Linked DNA regions of Coturnix japonica. The main gene of each other region encodes a partner of the protein of the gene in region 2 in a complex. Links are inferred from orthologs where the notes say so. Each region holds a gene or a part of one and is shown on either strand. Other genes may lie near its edges.

Evidence for each region. Proteins that work in one complex are often made in the same cells at the same time.
Region 1: the proteins of ESPL1 (region 2) and PTTG1 are in contact, whole or in part, in a cryo-EM structure (PDB 7NJ1), measured with the Homo sapiens proteins. The link is inferred for Coturnix japonica from reciprocal best matches to the Homo sapiens genes ESPL1 and PTTG1. Residues at the interface, in NP_036423.4 of Homo sapiens: His402, Thr405, Val406, Tyr409, Ser461, Asn462, Tyr465, Tyr468, Arg505, Arg508, Glu512, Glu544, Thr547, Phe548, Arg551, Gln590, Lys593, Ala594, Val595, Arg596, Thr599, Gly600, Arg603, Gln634, Cys637, Tyr638, Trp683, Ile686, Glu690, Ile697; in NP_001269311.1 of Homo sapiens: Tyr111, Pro112, Glu113, Ile114, Glu115, Lys116, Phe117, Phe118, Pro119, Phe120, Asn121, Pro122, Leu123, Phe125, Glu126, Ser127, Phe128, Asp129, Leu130, Pro131, Glu132, Glu133, His134, Gln135, Ile136, Ala137, His138, Leu139, Pro140, Leu141.

What each region holds. Positions count from the first base shown.
Region 1 is NC_029528.1:9,901,552-9,905,771, reverse strand, and holds PTTG1 (securin), read left to right. Parts: upstream 1-1,420; 5' UTR 1,421-1,540; intron 1,541-1,783; 5' UTR 1,784-1,804; coding exon 1,805-1,886; intron 1,887-2,168; coding exon 2,169-2,344; intron 2,345-2,687; coding exon 2,688-2,781; intron 2,782-3,241; coding exon 3,242-3,391; intron 3,392-3,723; coding exon 3,724-3,803; 3' UTR 3,804-3,874; downstream 3,875-4,220. Other genes in the region: pre-mRNA-splicing factor SLU7, read right to left, coding at 702-855, 1,001-1,164. UniProt on the Homo sapiens protein: Regulatory protein, which plays a central role in chromosome stability, in the p53/TP53 pathway, and DNA repair. Probably acts by blocking the action of key proteins.
Region 2 is NW_015439867.1:541,804-545,908, forward strand, and holds the start of ESPL1 (separin), read right to left. Parts: upstream 2,801-4,105; 5' UTR 2,205-2,800; intron 1,577-2,204; 5' UTR 1,570-1,576; coding exon 1,489-1,569; intron 1,402-1,488; coding exon 370-1,401; intron 230-369; coding exon 125-229; intron 1-124. UniProt on the Homo sapiens protein: Caspase-like protease, which plays a central role in the chromosome segregation by cleaving the SCC1/RAD21 subunit of the cohesin complex at the onset of anaphase. During most of the cell cycle, it is inactivated by different mechanisms.

The DNA.
Region 1 (4,220 bases), on a different chromosome or scaffold from region 2:
AAAAGAAGACAGCGTTAAACATTAAACAAACACATGCTAAGATTCATCTGTGTATTTCTCCCAGCTGACTTATTTACTTTTCTAACACAACTAAAGCACACATGCTCCAACCAAACTCAAAAGGCCATTTAGGTGACTACCAAACACTGGGTAATGAATCATAGAATCATAGTATCACCAAGGTTGGAAAAGACCTAAAAGATCATCCAGTCCAACCGTTCACCTATTACTAATAGCTCCCACTAAACCATGTCCCTCAACACAACATCTTCCCTTGAACACTCCCAGGGTCGGTGATTCCACCACCTCCCTGGGCAGTGCATTCCAGTGCCTGACCACCCTTCCTGAGAAGTAATACTTCCAAATGTCCAGCCTGAATCTCCCCTGCTGTAGCTTGAAACTATTCCCTCTGGTCCTATCACTAATGACACGAGAGAAGAGGCCGACCCCCAGCTCACTACAACCTCCCAACATAACTCAGGAAGTTATGGAGAGCAATGAGGTCCCCCCTGAGCCTCCTCTTCTCCAGGCTGAACATACCCAGCTCCTTCAGCCTCTCCTCATCTGCTTGCTGTGTACAAATTTCCAGTTCCTGTCACCCTCCAAAGCATATAACCAGATCTTGCAGGGTGTCACTGACTTATATCTTATTGCATAGGAATAATTAAAAGCTTTGTTTTAGGACAAAAGCATCCCCATACCTCTTTCACTCCCCGTTTGTACCAGTCTCCTGAGGAGCTGTACTGCTTCTGCTTCTCTGGCTGAGGCCTCTGATGCTTTAGCGTAGGTCTTTTGGAAGGATCTATGTACCACGGGACCGAAGATATGTACTGAGGAATGTGAGGGTTGATATCTCTGTAAAAGGAGATATGAAATTAATACACGGCACAGGAAAAACCACCGCACAATTTAGCTTAATTAACCTCATGTTAAGCTCAGCTTCACAACTCTGTAACCACATAAGCCTACTTTACAAACCGAGCTGTGTTACAGAACTTACTTTCCTTCCTCATCCACCTCAGCAGGCGCGTTCCCCAGCTTCCTCTGCTCCTCCAGCTCCTTCTTTTTCCTCCAATCCTCCCTCGTCATCTTCTTCGGCTCCTCCATACTCACATCTCCCGGCCCTCCCGAAGGAGCCGCGTTTACCGCCGTCCCAGACGCCATTTTACTTCCTCCTAAAACACTAAAAAACCGCACGCGTTCCGAACCGAACCGATCCCACGAGCCTCCCCCCGGTTACCCCTCATAGCCCAGAGCCTCCACCCAGCCATACCGGGCACAACGACCACCCAACACCCCAGCAAAGCCCACCCGGTCCCGCACCTCCACTCCCTGTTTACCAACTAGGCCGCACCGAGACCCCGCCCCTTGACTGCCAGGGCAACGAGGAGCCGGAACTCGGTAGTCACCAATGGGGCGGCTGAGCGTTAATCGAAAGCGGCCTATGGGAGCAGCGGGGCGGGTGTAGAGGCTGGTTGTGCTTATCGCTATCCCTGCTCTTCTCCTCGCTCTGCTGCTCCCAAATCGGCTTTTCCCGCAGGTAAGTGTGCTGTTTTTCCTCCATGTTTTCTTTCTGGCCTGTTGAGCGATCCTTCTGCCCTAAAGAAGGGCGGGCCTGCGAGGCGTTGCTTGGCCGCCCAGTGCACGGTGCCGTGTTATCAACCGCCATATCTAATACTGGCCCTGTGCTCAGTCCAAGCTGCCATCATCATTCCTAGCATACATCAAAAACTTGCTGTTTCTATTAGCAAGAACTGCCAAGATCTTCTGTCTGCCTTTCCAGGGTGGTCTCATCAGCCCAGAGATGACGACGCTGATCTTTGTGGATAAGGAGGATGGTGAAGTTGGTGCTACTAAGAACCAGTTAAGACGCCCTTCGGTATCATGTGAGTATATGCTCCATGGAGACAGCGTGGGATGGAGTAAAGTGCGTGTCCTGGGTTTTGTTAATCACTGTTTTGAACAGGAACAACAAAATGGGTTAAGCAGATAAATAGTAAAACTAAGTTTATCAGCTATTACAAATATGAAAATCACCTGTCTTTTGAGCTTATACTTTTGATCTAGAAGTGGAGAACAACAATTAGCTTTCTAGCACACACACTTCATTAGAAGCAAGCTTTAGGGTTGACAAGGTGCTAAAGCTTGCTTTCCTTTCCTGTCTGCAGCAAAAGCCTTATCAGAAAGAACACAAGTCAATACTCCACTTCTAAAAAAAGCAATCAGAACTCCAGCCACATCTCACTCTGTCAGAAAGGCTCTTGGAAATGTGAACAGAACTGTAGGAGTTACAAGCAAGAAGGAACAGAAGAAAGATAAAAATCAGCCTTGCAGTGCAAAGAAAGTGAGTACAACCCTTCTGTAATGGATGGGAATCAGAGGAATGCATGATGTACCTACAACAGCTTAGGGAACACACAAGGGCAATGAAGTAACTCTAGACAAAATATTGGCTGTGTTACTGTCTTGTTCATATTCTATTTAGTGGGAGTTTATTGTTATGAGCCTAAATATCATACTGCAGAGATTTGTTGCCACTGTGTACCATCATACAAGTTCAACTGAAGCATTTTCCCTTTTGCAGCTTATTTGTATCAAAGGTGTTAAAATCCAGGTTTACAGGCACAGAAAGGGTACTACACTGAGAAAACACGACAGCACAAATAACTTGACTTCTTCATTTTAAGGTTGCTGAAAAGGCTGTTGGATTAGCAAGCTGGGATGGAGGGGGTGATGAAGCTTACCCAGAAATAGAAAACATGTTTCCTTTTGATCCTCAAGGTAAGAACTCTTGGGGTAATTATTAAAACCTAATTGGACTTTGATTAAGTGTTGATGCTGCAAGACTTCCACTGAGCTGTTGTGGTGACTAAGCTGGTATTACATTTCTCCAGAGTCCTTTCTTAAACATAAGGGCATTCAATATTTTGGAAGCATGACCTTGTTCTTGTTTGAGTGTTTTAAATATACGTATTGCTTGATATAGTTGACACAGCATAGGGATTAGAAAAATTCCTTAAAACTCTTGCTTTATAATGACTGTTACATACACTTCAGATAAGCATTAGCATACAAAATTGCATGGACACTAATAAGTAACTGTAACTAAGCACTCCATAAGAAGGAACTGTTGGACTGAGTTGTCCTGGAACTACTCCCATTTCACTTAATCAAGGACAACTTGCAGCTTCACATGCTATTGTGCGCTGTTACTAAACTACAGCGTGTCTTTCCTAAACAGACTTTGAGAGTTTTGATGTTACTGAAGAGGATAAACTAAGTGATATCAAGCTGCGTGGTGTTCCTCTCATGATATTCCCAAGTACTTATGACAAACCTGTGGACCTAGCTTCTTCACCTATAAAGCTTGAAAAGATGCCATGGGAGTCTGGTAAGTGGAAAATTAGCCTGAGGTTCAGCGCATATTAGTGATTTAGGAAGGAAGTGAGTTTGTTGCAGTAGTGAACAACTATTGCTCTTGTAAGTGCAAGAGCAGGATGCTTATCTCAAAGAGCACTCTGTATGTAACTGAGCTGAATTTAACTGGTCATCTCTACTGGCATGGGTAGTGGTCTCGAAGCTGCACTGCCATGTAACTTTCTGTAATATATTTCTAACTCATCATAGCCATTCAAGAGGCTTATGCTAATCCACCAGCAGCCAGCTGGAGTGTAAACTTCTGGATTTTATGAGTAATTGATCTCCTCTATTTCTAACTTTCAGACTTGCTAGAACCACCTGCTGACTTCATCTCTACGCTGGATTACGTCATTGATATGCCGCCTATGGACTATGACTTCTAAAAAGCATACTCTGAAGTTTCTGTTGAATTTTATGTTTATAAATAAAGGTTACTTTAACTTGTGAAATAAAACTTACCTTGCTTTTTCTTTCAGTAGAGCTAATATGCTGCACACCCAAGATGTAGGCATTTTACTATCTGACAGGCTATTAAAACAAAACTTAGTCTTGCTTAAAAGCTCATCTATAATTCAGTGTTCTGAACTGTATCCAGATATTAATATATGAATCTTCAAGTCACAAGTATAGATTCAATTTCTTAGCACTGTTATTGTTCTAGTTCTTTTCAGTAATCATGGAAAACAAGTGAGGTTTAGAGGTGGCATTATTCATAGTTGCCTGCTGTTACCACAGTGGATAAAAGTTGGTTTGAGGTGCTTAATGAAAGCTGGAATATGGGGGCCCTCACTACAAGAAAG
Region 2 (4,105 bases):
AGGGATGCAGTCAGAGGGATGGGGGTCCCATGGAGAGCCCTGCAGGGACTGAGGGCACATCTCTGGGGCAGCTCCAGGAGCTTCTGTGAGCCCCATTGGATGCTGCCCCCATCACCAGCAGTACCTGGGAGGAGCGGAAGGTATCGCAGGCAAAGCTGGTGAAGAGCTGGAGGCTGCGGTGCAGCAGCTGCTTCAGCACAAGCCGCTGCTTTGTGCCATCAGGAGGAACCTGAAGGAGGAAGGAGAAAGTCAACTGCGAGGCCACAACAGCAGCATGACCATTGGGAAGCGGGACACTGCTGGCAGGGCTACAAGGCCTCCAGCGCTCCTAATTAACAGGAGAGCTCTCATTAACCCCCAAAGCCTTACCATGGCCAGCAGCAGGCCAAGGACACGGCAGTGCCCTTCCACGAAGGCACAGAGCTGCAGCACATCCTCCGGAGGCAGCGGCTGCTGCTGGCTGCTCCTGGCACGTTCACTGAGGGACATGGTGACAAGTTGGCAGCCCTCAGCCAGCACCCTGAGGATGCGCCCCGAGACCTTCCCTGCACCACCCAGCGCTGCCGCTGCCTGCGCCAGGGCCGGCCCTGCTGAGCCCACCTTCTGGGCCAGCACCCGGCTCAGCTGCACGCCAGCCTCCAGCAGGGCCAGGGCCTCGCTGCACACCTTGGAGCCCCCCAGGAATCCTCGTGCATCTCTCACAGCCGCCTCCGCCTCCCCATAGCAGCCTCCCCTGCAGAGCTGCCGGCACTGCTCCAACAGCAGCTCCAACAAGCAAAGGGCCTGCGGCAGAGAGGGCGGCCGCGCCATGTCCTCACGGAGGGAGGTCAGGACACCCTGCAGCTCCCGGCCAAGGCAAGACAAGGACGGAGCCTGGGAGGCTTTGGAGAGAGTGGAGGCCACAGCCACCAGCTGCCGGGCAACCTGCGAGGTGAAGAAGGGCGGCACCAGGGGCAGCGCGGCCCCCTCCTCATCCTCCAGCAGCAGCACGAAGCGCAGGGCCTGCAGGCGGTCCCGCAGCGTCCCCTTGGTGCCCCACAGCGTGGAGAAGCAGCTGTGGGCAATAGCACTGAAGTTGGGTGACGGCGCGTGGTGCTGCTGGTGAGCGCGGAGCTGAGCGAGGATGAGTTCCGCTGCCCTCCTGCAGGCGTCACGATAGCCACGGGCAGCCATGTTCTTCAGCAGGTGGAAGAGGATCTTCTCCAGGTACAGAGGGGTCGGCGGGGCAGTGCTGCTGCAGACAAAGCCCCTGCAGGCTGCCTCGGCCAAGGCCATCACTGCGTTGGTGTGTGTGAGGTCGCAGCTGGGCTCCCCCACGCGCTGCACGCAGGCCCGCAGGATGCGGTCGCACACTGTGCTCTGTGCACTGCCCTGCACTGCTGTGCTGCTGGAGAGGCATTGCTGTAGGGGAGCAGAAAGAGGGAACGAGTGTGCAATCAGGGGTCGCTCAGCAAAGAGGTGGGACCCCCCCAACCCCCCTCAGCTCACCAGCAGCTCAGTCAGCAGCTCCTCTGTGCTCTCCAGGCTGGCGGTGCGGGACACGAAGTTGGCACCTTTGAGGCGTTTCATGGCAGCACTGGGGAGACAGAGATGGGGGAGTGAGGTGAGAAGGAAGGGGGGGGCAGAGATGTCCCACTGCGTGAAACCCCCCCAGCCTGAACTCCCATTTCCCACCACTCAAGGGCTGCCCTCTCAGTGCTCAGGGACCCCCTGAGCCCCGTTCTCTCCTCTCTCCCACCCCCCCTCTCCACCACCCCACAGCCCCCCAGCGGCCCTCAGGTATCAGACCCCCCTCTCTCCTCCAAAAGCCATTCCTTAGGGCACACATCCATCCCCCCCACATCAATCCACCCAGCAGGCTCTTCTCTCCCCCCCAAGGTTCGCCAATCCCCCCCATTCCCAATCCTCAGCCTCCCCAAGGACTGAAGCCCCCTCTGTGCCATCAGCTCCCCGTTTCATTGACCGCAGCCCCACACCCAGCCCCACTCTTACACCACCCTTATCCTAACGCCCCAGACTCCCACTGCCCCCCCCACCCCCACCCCGGGGCCTCCTTAAACTCCCCCCGCACCCGCTCCCTCCAACTCCTCGTTCCCAGCCCCCAGGGCCCCGCAGGCTCCTCCATCCCTTCTCCCCCATCCCTCCTCTCCCCCCACCCCCCCTATAGGTACCCAAACCCCCCGCTCCCCCCGGTTCGGACTCACTCCGTCCCCGCCGCCGCCGCCTCTAACTGAGCTCCAGCCCCGCCACGCGCCCCATTCAAGTCTGTCCCGCAGCCAATCAGCGCGCAACGGGGGGACGCCGGGACTTGTAGTGCTGAGCTCCGCCCCGGGACCGGAACCGGGACCGGGACCGAGACCGAGACCGGGACCGAGACCGAGAACGAGACCGAGACCGAGACCGGGACCGAGGAAAGCGGAGCGGGTCGGGCCCGGCAGGAGGGGCTGTGTGAGGCTGGAGCTGCGGAACGGACCGGAACAGAACGGACCGGAATGGAATAGAACGGAACGGAGCTCCGCCGTTATGGGGCTGCGCTGCCGCCCCGTCCCTCCCCTGCGCTGCTCCGTCCTTGGGATGTTATCGCTGCTCAGCGCTGCCCACACAGCCCGGACGGGAGGAACGGGCACACAACGTGTGATAACGTGTCCTTATCAGCGTGTGCTGCTGTATCCACTGCAGAGGGAACTGGATGGGCCAAGGTTAACGGCACGAGTTTCAATAGGACCAATGTCGGGTCCTGCATTTTGGTCATAACAACCCCTGGCAGCCCTACAGGGTTGAGGTGTTGTGGCTGGAAAGCTGCCTGATGGAAAGGGACCTTGTTGTGCTGATGGACAGTGGGCTGAATATGAGCCAAAAGGGCCAATGGCATCCTGGCTTGTACCAGGAATGGTGAGCAGGACCAGGGAAGTCATCCTGCCCTGTATTCAGCATTGGTGAGGCCTCACCTCGAGTGCTGTGTTCAGTTTTGGGCACCTCAGTACAAAAAGGACATGGAGGTGCTGGAGAAGGTCCTGAGAAGGGCAGCAGGGCTGGGGAAGGGCTTGGAGAATCAGCCCTATGAGCAGAGGCTGAGGGAGATGGGGCTGTTTGTGCTGGGGAAAAGAAGGTTGAGGGGAGACATTATCACCCTCTTCCAGTATCTGAAAGGTGCTTACAGTGAGAGTGGGGCTGGTCTCTTCTCACTAGCAACAAGTGACGGGATGAGGGGAAATGGCCTCAAGTTGTGCCAGGGCAAGTTTAGGTTGGATGTTAGGAAGAACTTCTTCATAGAAAGGGTAGTTAAGCACTGGAATAGGCTAAACAGAGAGGTGGTTGAATCGCCATCCCTGGATGTGTTTAAGAGCCGTTTGGATGTGGTGCTCAGGGATATGATTTAGCAGAGGGTTGTTAGTTATGGTGCTATGATTAGGCGGAGGTTGGACGTGATGATCTTCGAGGTCTTTTCCAACCTGGGAAATTCTATGATTCTATGAAAAGAAACACGAACAACAGGAAAACTGCACTGATTTGGTGGAGCCCGTGAGATGGGATCCACACAGCGGGCAGAACTGGACTAAAGGCTGACAGAGAGCATCAATACCTTAACAGAAGACATCAATACCTTAACAGAGAGCATCACATGTTAACAGAGGGCACCAGCACGTTCCCCTTCGATGTCCTTAAGAGCTTCTCTGGCTGTCACGGCTCTCTTTGGGACAAGAGGAGCCGTTGTGGGGGATCAGAGGGTTCGGAATAAGGTGTTGGGGGTGATGGTGGAGGAGCAACAGTGGGCCGGCAATGGGCTGACAATGGGCCGAAAATGGGCCGACAATGGGCCGGCAATGGGCTGACAGACAATGATCTGACAGACAATGATTTAACAGACAACGGGCCGAACTCTTGTCCCGCTTGGAAATGCCTGATCTCGAGGTCACTGAGCTCCGAACTTCATCCCAACCGAGATGCAGCGATCAGAGTTGATGCCACCCTCGGACCAATCGCAGCGCGTCTTTCACCTGCCACGAGTGGCTCGTCCAATGGGAGGCGGCGTTGCTCTTCCCGTCCCGCCTCGGAGCCAATCAGCAGCGAGCTACGAGGAGGTGGGCGGGACTCGGCGAAACCG